Linked DNA regions of Rhinolophus ferrumequinum. The protein of the gene in region 3 interacts with the protein of the main gene of each other region in a biochemical or structural test. Links are inferred from orthologs where the notes say so. Each region holds a gene or a part of one and is shown on either strand. Other genes may lie near its edges.

The links. The genes of interacting proteins can lie anywhere in the genome.
Region 1: the proteins of ERBB2 (region 3) and FGR form a complex in vitro, tested with the Homo sapiens proteins (2 studies listed by BioGRID and IntAct, with this or other methods). The link is inferred for Rhinolophus ferrumequinum from reciprocal best matches to the Homo sapiens genes ERBB2 and FGR.
Region 2: the proteins of ERBB2 (region 3) and SYK form a complex in vitro, tested with the Homo sapiens proteins (2 studies listed by BioGRID and IntAct, with this or other methods). The link is inferred for Rhinolophus ferrumequinum from reciprocal best matches to the Homo sapiens genes ERBB2 and SYK.

What each region holds. Positions count from the first base shown.
Region 1 is NC_046292.1:18,957,997-18,965,544, forward strand, and holds the start of FGR (tyrosine-protein kinase Fgr), read right to left. Parts: upstream 3,060-7,548; 5' UTR 2,884-3,059; intron 862-2,883; exon of another isoform or gene 785-861; intron 1-784. UniProt on the Homo sapiens protein: Non-receptor tyrosine-protein kinase that transmits signals from cell surface receptors devoid of kinase activity and contributes to the regulation of immune responses, including neutrophil, monocyte, macrophage and mast cell functions, cytoskeleton remodeling in response to extracellular stimuli, phagocytosis, cell adhesion and migration.
Region 2 is NC_046295.1:3,382,925-3,390,083, forward strand, and holds the start of SYK (tyrosine-protein kinase SYK), read right to left. Parts: upstream 3,060-7,159; 5' UTR 2,934-3,059; exon of another isoform or gene 2,727-2,933; intron 1-2,726. UniProt on the Homo sapiens protein: Non-receptor tyrosine kinase which mediates signal transduction downstream of a variety of transmembrane receptors including classical immunoreceptors like the B-cell receptor (BCR).
Region 3 is NC_046304.1:36,302,060-36,309,385, reverse strand, and holds the start of ERBB2 (receptor tyrosine-protein kinase erbB-2), read right to left. Parts: upstream 3,023-7,326; 5' UTR 2,766-3,022; coding exon 2,693-2,765; intron 1-2,692. UniProt on the Homo sapiens protein: Protein tyrosine kinase that is part of several cell surface receptor complexes, but that apparently needs a coreceptor for ligand binding. Essential component of a neuregulin-receptor complex, although neuregulins do not interact with it alone.

The sequences.
Region 1 (7,548 bases), on a different chromosome or scaffold from region 3:
GCCTAGAAAAGAGGAATATAAATCTCTACCTCATAAGATTGCTTCTGAGCATCAAATGCGGTCAAGGCCCCGAAAACATCAAGTACATAGTAGATGCTCAGTGAACTTTCACTTCTGCTCCTTTCCCTTGAGGAAGGCCCCCTCCAAGGCTGAAAGAGGAGGAGTGGCCAGGCTGAGAAGAAAGAGAAGTTCCCTGGGTGAGGTGGGTGGGCTGAGCTGGCCCAAGCTGCCTGGGGGATTTCACCAAAAGAGAACTGGGACTTTGGGCAGCAGACAGGAAACCGCGATCCTGCAAGAGTTCCGGCTTCTCCTCAGGGCTCTGGGGGGGGCCAGGGACAGGCCAGGGCTGGAGCGGCAGGGCACAAGTCTCAGCCCCATGACCTCCTATCCGTCACCAAGACCTGACCCGCCCTGACTGAAGGCTTCCATTCCTCACTGAGACACTCCACCCCTCATGGAGCTCCGGTGCCCTTACTGACCCCTCTTCTCCCTCACTGAGGCTCCCACCTCTCATTGACCCTCCAACCATCTCCCACCAGGCTTTCTTGAGGCCTTACCACCCCACCCCAGAACACCCAGGGACGAAGGCTTACCCCATTCTGACTCTACTACCCTGGTGGGGCCAGGTGTGAGGGATAGGGGAGAGGGGGATAGGGCAAGGACGGGGAGGGTACCTATCTTTGCCACACTAGCTTTACCCTCTATATGGTCCTGAGGGTGTCAGCTGAATTTTCTTCACTTCTTGTAGGTAAAAGTGGTTTCTCATCTGTTGCTGAAAACATACTCATCAGCCTCTAAAACAGGAGTCTTTAGAAACTTGAGATTCTTGGGAGCTGGGAGACATGTGTGGTCCAGGAGGAGCTGAGGAACAGGAGTTTAGATTCCACAGTGTGGCCAGGCAGGAAGCCCCCACCCCGGGTCCCCCCTTAGGCCTGCTGGAAGGGCCCTTACTCTCCCTTCTCTGGCTCTGGGGCCTCGCTACCCAGCTTCTCAAGGTCTGGCCACTTCCTTTTCCACATCAGCCCGAGGTGGCTGCAGAGAACACCGAAATACCCACACCTATTCTCAGACACTCATGCTCATTCACTCATTCCCTCACAAACACTTCCACACCCTCACTCACAGCTTCACACCCACTGAGGAGCAGGAGCCAGCCCTGAAACCCAGGAATCCCATATCTTCTTGTACCATTGCCCTTCACCCATTCCCCTCTCCAGAAGTTTACATTGGATTTGGTAGGGATGAGGAGGGAACTTAGGCCTCAGTTCTGGCTACTTCCTTCACCACATCAGGGACAAAATGCCCAGGACTCTGGATCCCTACTGTTGGCCCTGTCAGTCATTGACTCCCAAACCTCCATCTTCCCATCTGTGAAGTGGGAACAGAGCTCTGCTCTCCCACTACCACCACCAAAAGCAGAAGGAGGCAAAAGGACTCAGAATCACAGGGTGTGGCACCGTGGGGGTTGGGGACAGATTTCAAACCTGCTGACATTCCCTTAACAGATCACAAACATTTATTTATTAGACGTCAACTGTGTGCTGGTCCTTGGAGGCCCTGTCAGGCTTTCTGGTTTTTGAGAAGGTGAAGGGGAGGTTCCCTGGGGTCAGTGATAAATAACTCTTAACCCCTCCAGGACACTGGGCAAAAAATGCTTTCTGCACCTGATTCTCATGACTGGGGATGAGGTGGGATCTAGCGGTTGGATAGGGGCAGAGATCATTTCCCCCTATAATTCAAATGAGGAAAATGAGGCCCAGAGAAGCCCCATAACTTGCCGAAAGTCACACAGCAATCAAGGGCCAAGTCTACCCAAGTTCTTGAATCTGCAGATCGCCCACCCCAGGATCCCTGAACACCAAGCATCATCGCTTTACTTCTCAGTTCCGCAGCCCGCCTCCGACTGAGGACACAAAATGGGGGCGGAGAGGGGACCAAAGGGGACTGTGAGGGCAATGTGCACTACAGTAGCCAAGTGCCAGGCTCTGCCTCTCCGCCCTCTTGTTGCCATGGTGACAGCCCCTCCCGGCAATCACGGTCAAAGGCAGGATTTCCGTCGGGGCAGCCAGCAATTCCCGGATCCCGAGGGGGAACGTGGACCGAGAGCGCCACTGCGGGCGGGGAAGGGGCACCCAGAGAGGCCTATCCCTGTTGAGGCGGGGACTTCCCCAGGAAGCCGGGACCCACGCCTCTAGCGCCTTGAAGGAGTCCCCTCTCTATGTACAGTCCGCCGACCAGTGCGGGGTGGGGAGGGGGCTGATAGGTAGCCGCCTCCGCTCCACCCGCCCCGCCCCCCGGCTGGCTACAGGCTTCCCCCCCGACTTTTGCCGATTCCAGATTGGAGGACTTCATGGAACCCCGGAATTGCGCCCTACATTCTGCATCCTCCACAGATGGCTCTCCTTGACCCCTTCCAGCAAACTCCCACACCTGATCCTCCCAGTGCCCTCACCTGCTTCCCCTCTTCCAGACCCCTCAGCTTCTCCCCAAACCCTCAATTTCAAGGTTCCCTCAGTTTCTCGCCCAGCCACTTTTGGGGGTCCCTTTAGTCCCTCGCCCCCGATTCAGCCCCCTTCCCCAATTCTATCAATCTCACTGAAGAGGTTCCCTCCGTCTTCCCCACCAGACCTTTTTTTGGGGTCCCTTTAGTCTGCTTTCCATATATTCCCTCACCCTCCTCCCCACATTTTATCACTCTTACTCTCCAGGTCTCCCGTTTTCCTCTTTAGCTTCTTTTCGGGGTGGGGCCGCTTTGGCCCTCAACTCCCTCAGTCCCCCTCCCTAAATTCAGGCTTACCCCACCTAGTCCTCCCTCCAGGGCCGCAGGCAGGCCAGGGGCGGGGCACCGCGCTGCCCCTCCAGCCCCACCTGACGGCCGCCTACCTGGTGCCAGGGGAGGCGGCTTCTGACGAACCTCAGGGCGAGCCAGCTGGGCTCCCAGCAGCCACAAGTGCCGACGTGTGGAGGGAGAAAACTGGGGTACTGCCCGCCTCTGACCGCCGCCCCCTCTGGGCAGGGAGGAGGAAGCCGTCTCGGACTTCTCTTATTGCAGCCGCAGCGGCAACAGCGGTGGCGGCGGGGAGAACTCGCAGTCACGCCCCTGCCCCAAGCTGCCGGCAGCGGGGAGGGGCCCTCAAATCCCAGGCAGGTCCGCCCGCCCCCACTTTCCGCCTCGGTTACGGGGGTCGGCTTTCCCACCCAACTCCTCCCCGCAGACCTGAACCCCCAGGACAGACTTCTTAAGGGCCTCTTCCAAGGGGACAGGTTCCTGCTCCCACCCAGAAGCACCAGCTCTTTTAGAATCATTGCATTTGAGGTTAAGAGGGTTTTTTCTCTAGCATTGAAGCCCCCATTTTGCAGGTGGGAAAACTGAGGACCAGATGAGGACAGGCCTTAGCAAATTTTCACAGCCAGTTGACCTCACACTGCTGTGACCAGAGCCACCAGTCACCATGCTTTGCCATCCTCAGGGGCTGCTGGGTGCTGGGGACACAGAGATGTCGGACAGTGGGAGCTGCAGGAGACCCTATCCTTAGGAAACTGCTTTTCAGAGCAATCAGCCATCAGCCCAAACTAAGGGAGGGGGAGGGTGTCAGCCTCCCCCCCCACACCCAAGTTTTAGAAAAACTGAGTGTCTTCCTCTATCACAGTTCCAGCCTTTCCAACTAGCAGGGATCCCTGAACCCCCTCAACCTGGGGTTCAATCCCCCCTCTGGCCACTGTTACTTTTTTAGCCTTAAACTAAGGACAAGGAAAGTCCCTCCTGTCAGGGGAAGAAGAAATGAGTGTAACAGGGCTGTTTGGTGGAGAAGTGTGTGTGTGTGTTGGGATACGGTGGGAGGCCGGGAGGGTGTGTGAGCACAGATGTGTGTGTGTGTGTGTGCGCGTGCGCGCACGCGTGCATGCGATTGTAGTCAGTGAACACGATGACTGCAATTTTGCAATCAACTGGGACACATTCTGCATGTATGAAAATAGGGATGTCTGTGAATGCCTGTGTGTGCGTGTGCACTTGTACATGCACCAAGGTGTATCCCAATGTGATTGTGGGGTGGCAGACTATGGTGGAATGCAGGTAAGAAGGCTTTCTCCTTAGGAAAATGAGAGAAGGAATGGGGAGGAAGACACAGGGAAGGAGGTGAAGGTGCAGGAACTTGGGAAGGATGGCCTTATGCTTGCTGGGCACCATCTTCTCCACTATCAAGCACTCATTGACTGGCCATTGGTCCATGTGTTTTTTGTTTTAAAGACAACTTTTTGGGGGGACAGGGGGCAATATTGGGGAACAGGGTGTTTCTCCAGGGCCCATCAGTTCCAAGTTGTCCTTCAATCTAGTTACGGAGGCCCATCAGTTCCAAGTTGTCCTTCAATCTAGTTACGGAGGGCGCAGCTCACTGGCCCATATGGGAATCGAACCGGCAACCCTGTTGTTCAGAGCTCGTGCTCTAACCAATGAGCCATCTGGCTGCCCCCGGTCCATGTGTTTAATGAACAAACAAACATTTACCATTGCCTGTCAAGTTGCCATCCTTAGGGAACACAGAGATGAAAGAGACTGATCCTTGTCCCTGCGCGGTGGTGTGTGTGTGTGTGTGGGGGGGTCCCCAAATCTATCAGGCTTTCTCTGTCATCCTTCAAGATCTGGCTCCTCAGGACGCCTTCCCTGATTGCCATCCCCATCCCCAGTAGAGCACTCAGCACCTTCTGCCTGGTGACCACTAGTTCCCAGGGTGTGGAGGTGTGAGATGCATTTTCCTCAAGGGCAAGGATTGGGTCTGGCTCTTGTCAATGCCCCCAGTGCCCTCACAGGATCTGGCACAGAGTCGTAGGCTCTCTGGGCATAGAAATGCATGGATTATTCAAGGAGCAAAGGAATTAACAGGTGAACAAATGAAAGGCCAATGAAAAAAATAAATAATTGAAGGTAAAAATTAAAGAATGAATGAAGAAATTCAAGAATCAACGACTGAATAAGTAAATTAATGGAAAAACAAAACTGCTGCTTTTAAAACACAAATTGGACAAATTCCTTAAAACTCTTAATGGCGTACCTCCCATTTTGCTTGGAACAATAAAAATAAAGTAAAATACAGGAATAATAAAGAATAATCCAAATGCCTTGCCATGGTCTCCCAGGCCTTGTGTGCCTGGACCCTGCCCACCTCTCCAGTCCATTGGGCCTTCTTCTTCCTCTTTAGCCAGGGAAATCCTTTTCAGTTCCTAGAATACATTAAATTTTTGCTTCAGGGCCTCCTCACATGCAGTTCCCTCTTCCTAAGACACTTTCCTTGCTCTTTATAGTACTGACTTCTTTCTACCCTTTACCTGAAGTGCTGCCTCCTCAGAGATGTCTGCCCTGACCACCCCATCTAAGGATCACCCCTCATTCTTGCTCTTGGCACCCAGTTGGTCCCCTGTATGACAGCTGTCACAATCTAGAATGGTATACTTCTCACTTCCTTGTTTATTGTCTGTGGATCTTTCTTGACCTCAAGAGATACCTGACATTACTCACGACAGAGATTCTATGAATCATTTATCCATTTAGAAGAACCTGATGGTTAGGAACATGGACTCTGGGCCCAGACTACTTGGTTTGTAACTATCTCTGCCTCTTCCTAGCTCCATGACCTTTGACAAATTATTTTACCTTTTTGTGCCTCAGTTTCCTCAACTGTAAAATGGGGATAATAATAGACCCCAACTCACAGGAGTCTTGGGAGAAAACAATGAGCGGTTAGACTTGTGCTTGGCACCTCGTAAGTGCCATATAAGTGTTTGCTATCATTCATTCATTTAATCAAACCTCAAATCTTCCCTGCCATTACCCTGTGCCAGGCTGGGTGCTGGGGGCTCAGATAGGAATCAGGTCCAGTCCTTGACCTCTATATAGACTTGCTCCCTATGTGGCACAGGTGACTGGTGAACACAGGGCAAAGAGGCCACAGGAGGGGCCTGCTAAAATCCCCCACTATCCTTCCAGCTCCTGTGTTCACATGTTCCTTTAATTCAATTTTGAAAACTGATAGCAAAACCAAAATCATAGCCCAACAAGCCTGCTGAGACCTCCTATCCATTTCCCATCTAGCTATCACTCTCCTGCTCTCACTTCTGTTTTCAACCAGCCTAGATTCTGTTGTCTCTCCTTATAGTCCTCCTTTGCAAAGACCCTGCACTGCTTGCCTCCCTCTCCCTCCAGTGTACTTGCATGGAAAGCCCCAGACCTGCAGGAATCCAACTATCCACCTTCTCTGGGTGTGGAGGAGAAAAACCACCTGCCATGCAGACAGGGTCACAACTCCCAGCCCCAAAAGGACACTACTCAGGCCCACCTACCCTCCAGGGTGTTTCTTAGTAAGCTGACCCTGGTATCTGCCCAGATGACCAGTTCACACCTTTTCTTCTCTCCCCCAACTTCCCACCTCTTCTCTCCCTTCCTGACTTACATTCCAAATCTTCTCATCTTTTGAGGACTTTACACCTTCCATAACCCCCTCTCCTGCACCATCGTCTGTCCGGCTGTCCATCTCCACAAGATTATCCTCCCAGCGTACAAACAGTTTCTAGAATTTTTCAGTTAAAAATAAAAAACAAAAACCTTCCCTTTGAGAATTAAGCATTTACCTGCCTTTTTAGGAGGAACTGCAGTTCATTCCTAGTTGATGAGGGAAAGCTTTTCTTTGTAGAAAAATGCCAGCTAACACACTAGAAGGAATGTGAGAACTAGAAAAACTCCATTTTGCAGCCCCAATTAGATAATCAATTAGGCAAGAATCATCATCAATGTATTTGTCAGCTTGGGTTGCCATAACAAAATACTGTAGACTGGGTGGCTCAAACAACAAGCATTTATTCCTCACAGTTTTGGAGCCTAGAAGTCCCAGATCAAGGTCTAGCAGGGTTGGTTTCTGGTGAGAGCTCTCTTCCTGGCTTGTAGAAGACATCTTCTCCATGTGTCCTCACATGGCAGAGAGAGAACCAACTCTGGTGTCTCTGCTTGTAAGGACACCTGTCTGATTGGATTGGAGCATCACTCTTATGACCTTATTTAACCTTAATGACTTCCATAAGGGCCCTATCTCCAAACAAAGTCACATTGAGGGGTTAGGGCTTCAACATAAGAACGGGGTGCGGAGGGGTGCAATTCAGTGCACAGCAGACGCCAAACCACTAGGTGAAACGTTTTAAAGAACAGAATGTTCACCAGTGCTACAGGAGTACTGTACAGCTGATCTGGTATCTGCTTTCCAACGGAGAGATCTGGTGGGCACCCCATACTGGTGTCAGCAAACTATGGGTTAACTATGGCCCTCTGCCTGTTTTTGTGCAGCCCTGTGAGTTAAGAATGGTTTTTACATTTTTAAATGGTTCAAAGACTCAAAGGAAGAATAATATTGCGTGACATATGCAAATTACGTTAAATCCAATTTCAATGTCCATAAATAAAATTGTATTAAAACACAGCCATGCTCCATTTACATATTACGTATGGTTGCTTTCATGCTACAATGACAGAGCCAAGTATTTGAAACAGAGACTGTATGATGT
Region 2 (7,159 bases), on a different chromosome or scaffold from region 3:
AATTAATTCTTAAGGGCAAAAAAAAAAGTCAAAATGATGCAAAATAACTTTGTCAGACAAACTTATACGCTAATAGAAAATTTCCCTGGTAATATAGTGTCAAAATGGATGATTTTTTTTCCTTTAAAATTTAGCCTATTTTTTAAAAATTTTCCCACAATTCCTCAGTTAAAAAATTTTTTTAAACTCTTTTCCACGTGAAAAGGAACAAACCTGTTCAAATCAAAGTAGAAGAGTAAGATGATAGGACATAATTAAATCAGGCAATTTAATTCCAATCTCTCTTTAAGATTCTGCCTTTTGATTTTAATTGCTTTTAAAGAAAAAAAAAGTTCAGTATGCAGACATTTTTAAAAATTCTCCCCAAACGCCTAAATTCCTAATTTTTTCTCCACTCATTTATAGCTAAACCAATCCAGAAGTGGAAGAAAATGTTAAAACTTGCAAACGAGGGGCAGGGGAGAGAAGATGAGTTAGTTGGAAAAAATCTGTTACAGTGAAAGCTTTCTCAGCAAAAATGAGGTCAGATTGGAGTGTCCTGCCATTCCTTAGGCACAGACGACAGAGCCAGCTGCACAGTGAACAGGAGACATTTCTTCCAAGCACATACTGCAGTTGGAAATGGTGATAGTACCCTTTCCTTGAGTAACCACTGTGTTCTTGCTCTACAATCCTAGACTGTCAGAAAATCTGCTGTTTGAAAGTACATCAGTAAGGATGAAACATCCTATTCTTACTTGCAGGATTTACATTTTGATGGTTATCACTGAAAATTCAGTGAAGTTATGCTATTTCAGACTCCCTGACAAGAAGGGAATTGCCTATCTAATTACTGAAAAGTGTGAGTTATTGGGCAATAGAAAAGCAATGTGTTTTCAAAAGCAAAACAGTAGCTTGATGGAGTCTCACACAGACTCAGTCCTTTAGTCGAACTCCAAAATGCTCTGAAAAACAGGTTTCTTTGGTAAGTTTTAGGGACTCTCATTTAGGGACAATGCCTGCCCTAAACTGACGCACAGCTAATTACAGTCTTTATTTATTCCACATACTGAGGCTGTTCACAGTGTCAATGCACAAACATTAACGTGTGCCATTACAGGAGGCTGTATCGGAGTGGTACCCACCATACGGTGTCAGTGTGCATACATACCTGTCTAAATTCTGAGAAATGTCTTTCTCAATGCTAAAATTCTAACTTTGAATTCTAAACTGTGAAAAATCCTGCATTCCAAAACCTATCTGAGCACAAGGGTTTTAAACGATCACGAACATGCAGTGTGCTGCCTAAGTGGTGTCCTACTAAGAAGTCTGGGTTAAAAACAGAGAAATCAGACCTGCTCTCAGAATATTAAACATGAGCTGAAGGAAAGCTAAAGTGAGCTATTTCTGAAGTGTAAACCTACCAATTAAATGATCTTCCAGCCAATTTCATCCCCCAGGAAAGGTAAGGACCTAAAGTACACACCTCATTTTCATCATGGCTTAAAACATTAAAAACAATTCTAGTTAAGACTACATAATCCTACATATCTAAGCATTACAGACATAGAGAATACAAATCAATTTCTATTTTATTGCAAAACTCTAAACACATCACACATATGATGTAGATAGAACAAAATGATTTGATAAAATCATTTTAACTGACAAGATTTCTCACTTAAAACACCTAACACTTTACAAGTATTTTAATCATTTAGCTCAAATACAAATACATATATCTATGCACCATCCAGACTTTTGGCAGGGAGGGGCATTAATGAATTTAATTGCCTTTAATTGAAATCCTGCCTGTGAAATAGCAATGAATTTGTCCTTACTAAAACAAAGAAATCAGATACTAGAGTCAATTCCATTTCTTCTGGAAATTCTCCATTATCACAATTATTATTTATTTATTATTATTATTATTTAGTACGAAGATTCAAATGTGGGACAACTCCAACTCTTTCAACTACACGCTGAAATGTTCCGAGGGTTTAAGAGAAAGACCAATTCCTCCAGTAACAGTTCTACTTGGGTTCAATGAAATCTTTGGGGAGTCAGGCAAACTCATTCAAGTAATCTGCAACACTGTTTCCAACTTAGAACGATTTAAACTCTAATTTCTCCAACGAAGCCTTTCTAATACTTCAACATTCAGACAAACGAAAAAAAGAATTGTCTTTGTACAGTTATTTAGGTGGGTTTAATATTTTAAACCATATTGACAAAAAAACAAACAAACAAAAAAACAAACAACACTTAAAATTTACATTTTACTGCATAAAACTACCCTGCGCTCCAAGTCATTCATTGGCTAATTAAGTTACTTTACCACGAAAACGTGTCGTAAAAGGAGCAATCATGCAAAATTTTGGTAGTAGTTAAGAAAGTTTCATGTGTCGATGCAACTGCTCTTTCTTTCTGTAGTACACGAAATGTAGTGTATATAAAACCTCTGCAGGCACACGAACATTTGTACATTGAGTCACTTCGATAAATACAGTGGAATTTTCCAGGGCATTCATGTAAATGGACGAACGAAAATTTCTTATTTTGGAGTTCCCCGTGCCGGCGGACTCCAGCTCCTGCTTCCCAGGACCCTGTCGGGACACTGTGGGCGCTGCCAGGGCACCTGGGGTCCGGGGACCCCCGCACTGACCCCCGGGCCCAGGCCTGGCACCTAGTACAGGAGTCGGACCCCGTGAGGCTCTGGGTTTAGGAGAAAAGCTGGCACCACCTACCTGCTTCTATTCGAACGATGTCATCAATTTCCCCTCCTTTTTCAAAGGCCGAAGGCCCCGAGCGTCCCTGCCCGGCTGAGCCCGGACACCCAGAAAGCGGCCAAGGAGGCGCAGGGCCGCGCTCCCTGCTCGCCGCCTTCCCGGCCCCAAAGCGCCGGGGCTCCGCGGTCCCGCGGGCCGAGCGGAAGGAGCGCGCGCCACACCTACCTGCGCAGGTAAGGCGAGGGCGGGGCGGCGTGGGGTCGCCGTGCGGGGCGCCGGGCGCGGGGCCGGGGCGTCGGGAGGATGGGAGAGGAGCGGCGCCGGCCGCGGAGTCGCCTCACCCGCCCAGCGCGCGGCGCTTCCTCATTTTGGGCAACTTCCTTAACGCGCCCGGGCAGGCCCCACACTTCCTCCCGGCCGCCTCCCCAGCGCCCCGTGCGCCCCCACAGCTGCCTGTGCCCCCAGCGCCAAAGGCGCCCCGAGAACCCAGGGCAGGGCAGCGGCGGCCAGAGCGCGCGGGTACCCGGCGGCGAGGTCGACCTGGGAGGCCGGAGGGGAGGAGGAGAGCGGCCGGGTGACCGTTCCACCCGTCTCCCGGGCACAGAAGCCCGGGACAGGGGCCGTCATATACCATGCGGGGCACTGCCAACAACGAGAACCTCTCCCCCTGTCGCCTTTTTTAAGGACGACAGGCTGTTAGGGGCACCCCCATTTCCCCGTGCAATTCCTCAGGAAGAGAACCTTTTTCCTTGTGCGGTGCATTCCCAGTCATCAACCCGAGACACCCCTGCTGACCGGTGACCAGGAGGCCCTGGAATCCCGCCAGGTGACCTGCCTGAGATGAACGCCAGACTTCAGGCGCACCTTTGGGTGGGCCCAGCTTGCCCAACACAGCCAGTTTTCTGATGGCTTTAATTGCTACCAAGTTCTTGACAGTGAGTTTGACTTGCTTCCTTCTGTAATACCTACCGCGGTCTGCAGTCTGGAGCTAAATAAATTATTAATAAGTTTAACCCTTCTCTGTAGTCCTTAAAATGGTTTTAAAACACCTACCTGGTTCCCCTTCCCCATCCTCTCTCCGCATTTTTTTCTTTTTCTGTTGGACAGCCCTCTTTGAAATGTCCGTTCCCCTGAAAGTTTCCAGACCCTCACATTTTTGGTAACACTGTTTTGAAAACCTGTACCCTGAGCCAAAACACAATGACCAATACAAAATAGTGTGTTAGATTATAATTGACATGGAGAAGAATAAGGCGATAGGAAGTGTTTACATTAGATTGGAGCCCCTCAGACTTTCCACTTGGGCATTCTCTTCCAGTCATTTTTCCATTTAATTTTTAACCCAAGGAAGGGTTTTTATTATGATTATATTTGTTAACCACTGGACTTGTTTTTGCTTCAAAGAGCCAGTGAAATAGCAGTTGTTCTCTAAAAGACTGGAGGCTGCAGGAGGTTTTTAGAGTCGGCGATGTTGCTGAAAAGTAGAGTCGGCGATATTGCTGAAAAGTAGGGGTCCTGCCTTGCGTTTACTGAAATTACATGTTTCCTTAGGGGCCGCTAATGGCGGTGAGGTAGGTGATGTTCTAGATCCATCTGCCTGCCTCCCTGTAGTACTGGGTCCTTCCCACCTTTGAGTCATCTTTAAAAAGTTAATTAGTATGCTTGTAATGATTTTTTAATGTTAAAATTATCACACAAATATCTATGAATAGAAAAAATCTTCCTGAAACTCAACACATTTCTCCCAGCCTTTCTTCTTTCCCCCCATGTGCTGAGTGCTTTTTATCTTTTCACTGTGATCAGTCTTCGCTGTGATTGTATGCTGAGTCCTGGAAGCCCTTCTAGCAAAATGCGCACCAGGATGATCTCAGGGACACTACACACAGTCACTTTTTAAAGTCTCCTGTTCCCTGCAGATTATTATTTTTATTTCTTTAAAAATAGTCAATGTTTTTCCCCCAGTTTTGTTGTGTTATTTCCACCACCTGAAGTCTCGCATATCTATCTGCTTGTGTTGTCTGAGTGTTTCTGTGGTTCTTGTTCACGGTGCCTGCCTTACTGTGTACTTGGTCACGTTAGACTGTGTACTTGGCCACTTGTTGTCCCTGAAATATTTGTGGAAATTAGTTGAGGCCTGGGAAGAAGGTATTTTCTTTCAGAGAGAATTTTTCTTTGCTTCTGTGCGAAACCTAGGGTTTAACTAGTATTTGGATAATTTAAGAAAAGTTCTCAGGTTACATTTTTTTCTTTTTTTCTTTTTTTTTTGGATCACCAAAGTGATATGAATTTGGGCTGGAAATTTGGGCACAATTTTGGTCAATTTGTAGTTACAGTTTCTCAAGGATGCATTTCTTCTGTTTCTGTTCTGTGCTTCCTTTCACTTTTATTTTGGAGTTGTTTCTTGTATTCCATGTTGTTTCTTGTATTCCTTTCTCTTCCTTAGTTTACTCTGTCATTTTGGTGGATCACAATCTCCAGGAGTTTCCTGACAAATGGAAGTACAGTGGTACCTCGGTTTTCGACTGTAATCCACGAGTTCTGAAACGTTCGAAAACAGCCTACTGCGAGGCCTCAGGATCTTGCACTTAGCGGAAGCCACGTGACATGTTCAACTTCTGAGGCGTGTTCGAAAACAGAAGCATTTACTTCCAGGTTTACGGCATTCATAAACCAAAATGTTCGTCAATGGAGACGTTCGAAAACCGAGTACTACTGTAGATAGTTTAAAGACCTCCCATATCCAAAAAGGTTCTATCGTCAACTGTGATTGATGGTTTGGATGTGCTCTTCCATCCTGCATGATTGTATAGAATTCTAGTTCAGAAATTACTTTTCCTCACAATTTTAAGCCATTATTCCATTGTTTTCTTGTTTGCAGTGTTGCTGTTGAGAAATCCAAACCATTCTGAGTCTTTTTCCTTTGTCTATTCATTCTGATTCTTTATCCTTTGAGCATAGTTACTAGTCGGGTGTTTTACTTGCCCACACTTGCTAGCTTCTCCAGGCCTTCTGTTTACTCCTCTGTGGGTGACAGCTCCTTGATCCTTACATCAGGATCAAAGAATCATTGATTCTTTCTTCGTTCTGGGAGTCACTTTTAGGGTTTATTAGTCCCTTTATGCCTGATTTTCTATAACCTTTGGGCATTGGTTATGGAGTTGCGTTGCTATAACTGGGTCCTCCCTCCTGCATGAGAATGGGTTGAAGGCAGGAGGGTTCACTCTTCATTGGGAGATGGAGAGGGAAGAGCTTACCCCACTCTTTTGGGGGCAACTTTGAGCATCAGCTCCGTCCCCCAGTTAATGTGGGTCCCTGGAGCCCTCAGACTTCTGACAGTCATACAGAAAGCTGACATTTCTCTTTTTTCTCTAATCTCCACTGCAGACATTTTCACTACCTCAGAGTCAAAAATGGGGAAAGCTAAGAATAAATTATCACTCCTCTTTCTTCTATCAAGATTTGAATGAGAATTGTCAAGATTTTGTAGACACACCAGTTATGGTTTCTGGGAGGTGGGAGCATGACCTCACCCTGCTCCTCTCAAACTTCTGTTTTCTATATGAGCGAGCATTTTCTGAAGTCCATCTCATTAAGCCCTTCTCCTTTTCTTGTTTGGTTACTACCGGTGACTTTTACATTTTTGTTTTCTCTTCCGTTTTTGCTTGGGTGGCAGAGAGGGAGGGAATCTTTTTGTTTCTAGATAGTGGGACCTTGAAACTCCATGAATATTTCATTACTTTTATCCAGAATTTAATGCCAGACATTTTTTTTTTACTGTAGAATATATCCGTACATTGTACATTTTAATATTTAGAATGCAAGGTCCTCATATTTAACTCTTTCAAATTAAAAATACGTGAGTTACACATGACATGTGTTAGGATGCTTTAGGTTGCAAATAAAAGAATACTCAACTCCAACTATTGAAATGGTAAAATTTGATTGGCAAAAAAGGGAGAAAGTTCCAGAATGAGGACAGCATTAGGTGTACTTTTATACAAATAATTTTAAGTTGAGATAAAAGTCACACACACAAAATTCACCATTTTAACAATTTTAAAATGTAGGTGTACCTTTACAAAATGTAGTTATTTAACCCTATCTTGTCTTAAGAAGGCAAGTTATTTTTGCTAGACCAGCATCGCTGAATCTCCGTGATGCCCACCACCTGGGCACATCTATCTGCCAAAATGCCACAGAATGTCACCAGAGGAACAGCCTCCTTCTGCTGCTCAGCTCCCTCACCAGCTCAACCCTGATTAAAAAGGGACCTTTCACCTACAAATGGTGGACTTCCTTCTTTTTCTGTTGTCAATGAGGTTTTGAACAAGAAATAAAAAAGTTACTTAAGGACTAAGGATAGCATTTGAACTTAGGCCACACGTGACAGCCCACTGGTGAGAACTCTGGCCAGGGTCAAAAGCACGGGCTATCTTCCCAAGGCTGCCCCT
Region 3 (7,326 bases):
ACACCAGTTCCCCATCCCACCCTGGCCCCTCATGCTTCCACTCAGCTGTCTCCCTCCCCACAACCCTGTAAGTGCCACTGGCCTCTGCCCCACTCCTGCTCTCAGTTCCCTGCCACTCTGGGAGCGCCCAAGAAAGAAGCAGACATGGGCTGGACAGGGAGAGAGAGAGAACTCCAAAGCCAAGCGATGACACGGGTGGGGGCCAGTTGAGCTACACTTTCTACAGCCTAAATAAGGAAGATCATTCACCTGCGTAACAGAATAGTCGGGCTACCCGGCTGCCCCTGAGGCTTTGCTCAACCCATTCCTATTGAATGGAACAAGACTGACCAACTCTTAATGCCTCCTCGTTAGAGTCCAAAATTGCCCTGGACATTATTGGGTCACTGGGAAACCTTGGATAAGTCACTTCATTTATTTGAACTTGAGTTTTCTCATCTGTGCAGAAACTTCACAGGATTGTTGCAGAGATGAAATGAAACTGTATGGATAAAGAACCTGGCATGTAGGAAACACGATGTACATTTTTTGAAAGGGAAGTTCACACAGCAGTAGTATGGGTAATTCCCAACTGAGAGAAAAGAAAAGGTGCTTTGTATTTGGAATGCAATGTATTTTCTCTTCTTGCATTGGATCCCATCTTTTCAATTGTTTGTGTGTCTGTGAGTATTAAAATGAAGTTACTTTCCCTAAGTATAGTAAAAAGAAGGAAAGAGGCTGTTGGGAGACTCATATGGGAATTAAATATGAGCTCTGCAAGATAAAAAGGATGTGTTTGCTATCCTTTATAAAACCTTGACCTCTAAGAGAGGATCTCAGAAAAATCCCGACTCTCTGGGTCCTTCTCCATCTCCCCTTCTCCCCACATTCTTAACCCAGCTCTCAGCCCTTGGATGTAATAAGGGTGCTAGAGGCAGCTTGGTGGTGTGCTGCCATTTTAGACCATTTCCAGCAACACATTCAACATCTGACTGCACCCGCAGTGTGGGTTGAGGAGTGACGAGGAGACCCCAGTCTCCCGTGGGGGAACTGACTCCTCAGATCCCAGCACTGCAGCAACCCAGCCATTCCCCACCTGTTCAACTCGAAGGCCCAGGTGAGGAGGACAACAGCTCAGCCTGACAGCCCAGCCAGCCCTCAGCCTTCTCAGCAGGTCAGAGGTGAAGACTCGGCCTGGGTAACAGGGAAGGGTGGGCTCCCTCCCGGAGAGGAGACTTCTTCCTCAGAGAGAAGGCGTGGGGCCACCTCCCACTGTTTACAGCAGAGCTGGCCCAGCACCTTCAGGGAGTTCCTTGAGAGGGCAGAGTTCAGTCAAGTCCCCAAGTCAGCAGAGAGAGTGTTTGGCAACACAAAGCGGGCGCGCACGCACGCACACACACACTCACACACGCACACACATACACACACCTCAAGAACACCCCTCAGATATCACAGCAATGCTCTGGCAGGGGGGCCCTCAGGTGACACAGACAGGATGACACCCACCCCTTCTCCAGACTCCCTGATCTATGGAGACCACCCACTACTCCCAGGACCCAGTGCCGCAGGGAGCAGTGACGCCATTGTTCAAGGTGGATTAACAGTGGTTTCAAATGTATGGTTGGGGGCTCACTGGGGTCCCCACTACTTACTTGCTGCTACTTAACCTCTTTAAGCCCAGGTTTTCAGAAGGAAAATGGGAATATCAGTAGAACTTCTCTCATAGGGTTGTTCTGAGGATTAAAGGAGGGAACACATGCAAAATACCACGCAGTATTTCCAGCTTTAATCGTTATTGCATCGGGATGGACAGATGCGGCCAGACACTCGGTAGTCTCCCCATCAGCTTCTCCACACACAGCACGAGGGGAAAGGCAGCACAATCCACCCCTCTGCACACCCCTGTCTGGTCCTATTTCTTCGCCTCCCACTGCCCAGGAATCCCTCTCATAGAACTCTCCCATTTTATGCCCCAGACCAAGAAACCCACCACCACCCCTCTGCCGCCCCTGCTCTTCAAAAGTCACAAAGCACACAGTCTCTTTAGGAGCTGGCCCTAAAGAAACTTGTTCAAAACAAACGTCTCCCCCTCCCCCCCCACACCCCCGACTCCAGCGTGAGGCAACTTCGCAGTCCGACTGGCCAGCCTCTCCTCCCGGCTCTGGCCGGACAGGTTGTTTTCCCCACCTCCCCCTCCACACCCCGATCTTGCCTGAAGCTGGAGTAACTAAACCCAGTCGGCTGAAGGGGGGCGAGGAGGGGGTAGGGGTAGGGGCAGGGCAGGAGGGACCCCCGGGGAATCCAGCCCGGTCCAGTCCGGAGGCGGAGGCTGCCAACTGGAAAGGCTTTGAGAAAGCTCGAGGGGGCTCAAGAAGGGGACACATACACACACACAGTGCAATACACCCTTGGAGAGAAACTTTCTGAACAATTTCAGAGAACTTTTCTGAAAAGTTCCCGGAGCTGTCGCGGAGTCCGGAAAGCGCCTGTCTCCATAAAGAGACACGGAGAGGCGTCTTAATTGACCCCCCTGCCCCACCTTTTTTTGCCCCCTCCCCGCAGAGGGCCGGCGGCTCCGAGCGCCTGGACTGTCCGAAACTTCGGGTCTGGAAGTTCGTACGGCACCCCCTACCTCGCCTGCCCGCGGATTTCAGCGGGGTCCCAGGCTGCAAGGTCCCGTCGCGGCTCCCTGCCCTCCCCAACTCAGACCCACCTTGGGTGCCAACGGCTCCAGGGGGCAGGAGGGCGAGGAGGAGCCCCCAGCGGCACCAGGCCGCCAGCTCCATGGTGCTCACTGAGGCTCCGGCCCCATGGCTCCGGCTGGACCAGGCTGAGGGGGCGCCGGGCAAGGCAGGCGGAGAGGCCAGGCGCTCGGCGCCGGAAAGAGCACCCCGCAAAGGGGCGGGCCGCTGCCTGGGGGGGATCTTCTGAGCTCTCCGTGCACGATGGAAGGGAATCTCAGCCCCACAACTTCATTCTTGTACTTCCTCGAGGCAGCTCTCCTCCTCTACCTCCTCCTCCTCCTGTGATTGGGAGCCAGCGCGCTCACAGCTCGCCCCCCCCCCCCCGCCACCCCCTCCAACCGCATTCCTGCAAGTCCCTGGGAGTGGCAACTCCCGGCCTCACTTTCTCCCTCTCTCGGCGCAGGCCTGGGGTGCGCGTCCCTCCCAGCGGCCGGACGCCCGGGGTGCCTGCCGCACTTCTCATTCGTTTCCATAGAGAGCCCCTAAAAGCACAGGACGTGATTGCGCCCCCTCCCCCGGGAGTCTGGGGCAAGGGCTTTAGGCTGCCATCCTTAAGTCTCTTTTAAGTCGCCCGTTTTATTTTAAACATTTCTGGCGAGTTTGCATCCTACTCCATCACATGCCTATCCGTTTTAATACCAATAATGATTTTCCCACCACATTCTGAGGTAAAATTGATAGTCGAGGAGGGGTGTGTATTGTATTTAACCTGTGGCTTCCAGGACTCCCTAGGATACCTTCTCGAATTTTTCAGGTATCTTTTCCAGTCTGAAAAGCATGATTTTAAGAGGGTTTACAAGTTTGGAGGGAGAGAGTCAAATTGGAGGGACCTCCATCTCAGTCCTTGGAAAAACATCCTTCTTGTTTCTTTACCATTGGGGCATTCAACACCAATTTATCCGAGGTTTTTGCCTCTGTCCCTTGCTTTTTATTAGCTTGCTCAATTCCACCTCCCCACCCTGCATTCCACCTGGAGCCCCTGACCCTGTCCTTAAAGCCCAGTGGGGGGTGGGGCGTGGAGTGGGGGCAGGGGATGGAAGAAAGGCATGTTTCTGTTGGACATTCCAACAAAACATTGCAGGGGACATACAACTTACACTAACAAATTATTTGTTGTTTATCTGAAATTCATATTTAACTGGGCATCCTTATTTTTATTCGCTAAATCTGGTAACTCTAGTTGGAATGCCTCAGACAAGAGCTTGTGCTGTTCCAGAGGGGATCAGAGTCACCTGCTGAGTGCTGGAGAATGAGGGACAGTAGCATTTCTTAATCTGCTTCCATATTCCCAGCTTGGTTACAGGCAGGCACTTTTACAGTAGGGGGGCTGAGAACAGGGTGTTCTGGGATCAGAATGACCTGGGTGCAAATCTCCACTTCACCACAAATTAGCTGTGTGTGTGTGACCTTGGGCAAGTGACTGAGCCTCTCTGGGCCCATTTGCTTCCTTGTAAAATAGCATCTGGCATTCTAAGCTAGGGGTTAAAGGAGATAATGCTGCTAAAGCACTCAGCCCAGTACTTAGCATATAGTAATTGTTCAATAAATGGTCTCAGGTTTAGTTATACTGTGGTAGATCAGGTTTTGTGGGGCCTGAAGCTTATGAAATTTGGGGGATCTCCTTAGGAAAAGGAATACAAAGTTATGAACACAAAATTTGACACATGCAAATGAGGGGCCTGAAACATAACCTTCCCTTAACACCATGGTAAATCCCCTCCAGCTCTAACCAGTGATGTTCAAACTGCAAGTCAGGTTTTATTAGAAAGTTGGTCATGAAACCAATTTAGATGATCAAGACAAGTTTTTTTGTTTGTTTTCAAGAAATGGAATGGAATAGAAAAGATTTGCACACATCACATGTAGTAAGGGTAAGTATGGGTAAGGAAGGGTATGTGTATCTTGGTGATGAGGTCCAATGGATTGATTCTTTGGATCATAGTCACAAACGTTCAAGAAATACTACTGTGTATGGGGACACAGCTGCCTTTCAGGATGGGCACCAATATTCCTATTTTCTCTAGGGTTCAAGTTAAGAGTTAGAGAGGGTAGGGTCAAGGAAATGGAGGCTCAAACGAATCAACCAATTTGGCCAGGACCCTCTCCGGGCTAATGAAGAAAAAGTCAAACAGCCAGCAAAATCAGCTCCTCACCCTCACCCCAGCACATAGCCCAGGACCTGGTCAAGGTGTCTCTCAGCCCTCCAGGGAGAGGAGATGATAACCTGGCTCCAAGAGTCGCTTGCTGGTCACACACGGGACGGCTTGCCCCTGAGCGTGTGTGCATTGAGCCTTCAAGAGACCAATCAGGGTGTTAGGGTCCGTGTTAAAGAAGTCCCTTCTCCTCCAGGTCCACTCTACCCTGCCCTTGAGTTAGGAGGGCTGGTCCAGCCAGGAACGCTTCTGTGGCACCATCCTTTCCTGGACTGGACCCCTACTCTGTACCACTCTGTCCTAGAGGCACACTCCTTATCTCACTGAGTCCTAAGGTGCCAGAGGAGGCGCTTGTTATCTGTCCCCATTTTGCAGAAGAGGAAGTTTGAGGTTCCAAGATAATGGAAACTGAGGCACGAGGCTTTGGCTTCATCCATTCCCCTCCAGAGCTTGAATCAAGGGTACCATGAAACCACCCTTACCCAGGGCCCCTACAGGGGAGCCAAAGGAGGGTCCTCCAAGAAATCCCGGTAACTAACTACCCGTACCAACCCCCTGCTACCCCTGCCGAGACAAGCCCACCCTCTCTGCATCCCAGAAAGAAACCCGGACTGGAGACCATGGTCAGTCCCATTGGGCTGCTCTGAGGGGGCGGAGCCTGCAGGCGGGAGTGGGATTAGGGAGGAGCGGAGGTCAGAACTCACGCCTGCCCGGGAGGAGGTTCGAGAGGGGCCGGGGTTCCCAGAGAGAATGAGCCCATTCAGAGCCGGGAAGGAAGGGGAAAAAGCCTTGTCTGGTGTTTGACAAGAGGAGAGGAAGGGGGGCAGGGGTGGGCGCTGCTGATTCGCTTCTCCCCTCCACTGCCCCTCCAGCATGGCCTGGCAGGAGAGCCAACGAAAGAGGATATCTGACAGACAAAGGCTGGGGGGTGGGGGTGGAGGTTTGGAGGGGGCTGGGGGACCGACATGAGCCTGAGAGTTTGCCAGCAGGGTCCAGGAAGGACCCTGGGGAGGGAGACAGCTACAGAGAAGGGGTATAACTGCAGCACACAGTGGAGCCAATGGAGGGGCAGAGGAAAGATACATGAGATCTGCACGAGAAGGTCTTTGGGCTGCAGGTACCCGGCCTGTGGGCAGCAAAGGTGACTACTGGCACTGAAGAGGCATGAAGGGGCTCTGGCTTAGGGAGATGACCTCTGAGGGTCAATAGACTGGGGTCTGAAACCAGCAGCCTGTGAAACGCCAGTCAATTATTGACCAGCCGCTGAGACTGGGGGACACAAAACCGTGTGTATGTGTGTGCGTGCGTGGTGTGTGTGTGTGTGTGTGTGTGTGTGTGTTGGCACCAGAGTCTCCTCCCTCTGCCTACCTCACCAGCCAGCCTGGGTCAGAGCACTGAAAACAAACAGAAAAAGGGAGGAGACGGTCCACAGTCCGAGGTCCAGGCCACAAACTGGGGCCTACCCCACAGGGCCTCAAGTCTGGGACATGAGTTGCTGAGGAAGTGTCTTTATGAATTAGTTACTTGGAAGGAGTCCCCACAGGGAAGGCACCAGGCCTCCCTGGGGCCGCAGGAGAGTTATTTGAAAGATTTTGATAAGGAAATCTGTACTTCCTAAAGTTAGCCTTTTAAGAACACTTACAACCACTGGAAGGTCAGTCCCTGGGCCCAGGGGTTAGCTCTAGTCCCAAGGTTAACAAAGGAGGAGAGGCCAAACGGACATGTCGGACACGCTGACCTTGGGCATCCTGATCACCTCCCTCAGCCCCTCTCACCCCCATCTTAGGCTTGCAGGCCCAAGGCCTTTCTCTCTCCCTAGGCTGCTTTGCCAAGACAAAAAAGTGCCCTTGTGATCTCAGCCTCAGCTGGCTTGAACGCAGGTATATGAGTACATGTGACTTCCATCCTGGCCTGTGCATAGGAGGGAGGCTGTCACACTTTGTGTTCCTGAGTCCTGTGCTGTCAGTGTGTTTGTGCTGGCCGCTTAACATATGTCTTTATTTATCTGGGGGTCTTTCCTCAGACAACAGCTAGATTGTGTGGCCTTGTGTGAGGCTTCACTTCGCCTTCTGAAATGTGAGAATTAGATTGAATGGTTCCTGGTCACAGTGTTTTGGGAGTTGATGTGGGGGACCCCTTTAACCCCCATGCTTATCCCTTGAAAGCCCTATTGAGCCATCCCTGGGCCACATTCCAGATTCCTTGTTTCACAAGCACTGCTTCTTCCTGCTCCATTCAGCCCTTCGGGAGCCCAAGCTCATCCCCTTGCTGCTGGAGATACAGACCACTGAGGTATGAATGAGGATGTGCTTGCCTCCGGCTTTGGTTTGAGGAAGAGGAGACTAGTGTGGGGGTCCATTGCAAGGCTCCCCAGAATGTGCCGCCCTGACTTGCAGATTGTTTTGATCTGAAAACAATTAAAGCCCAACAAACTCAGGAAGAGTTTTTTT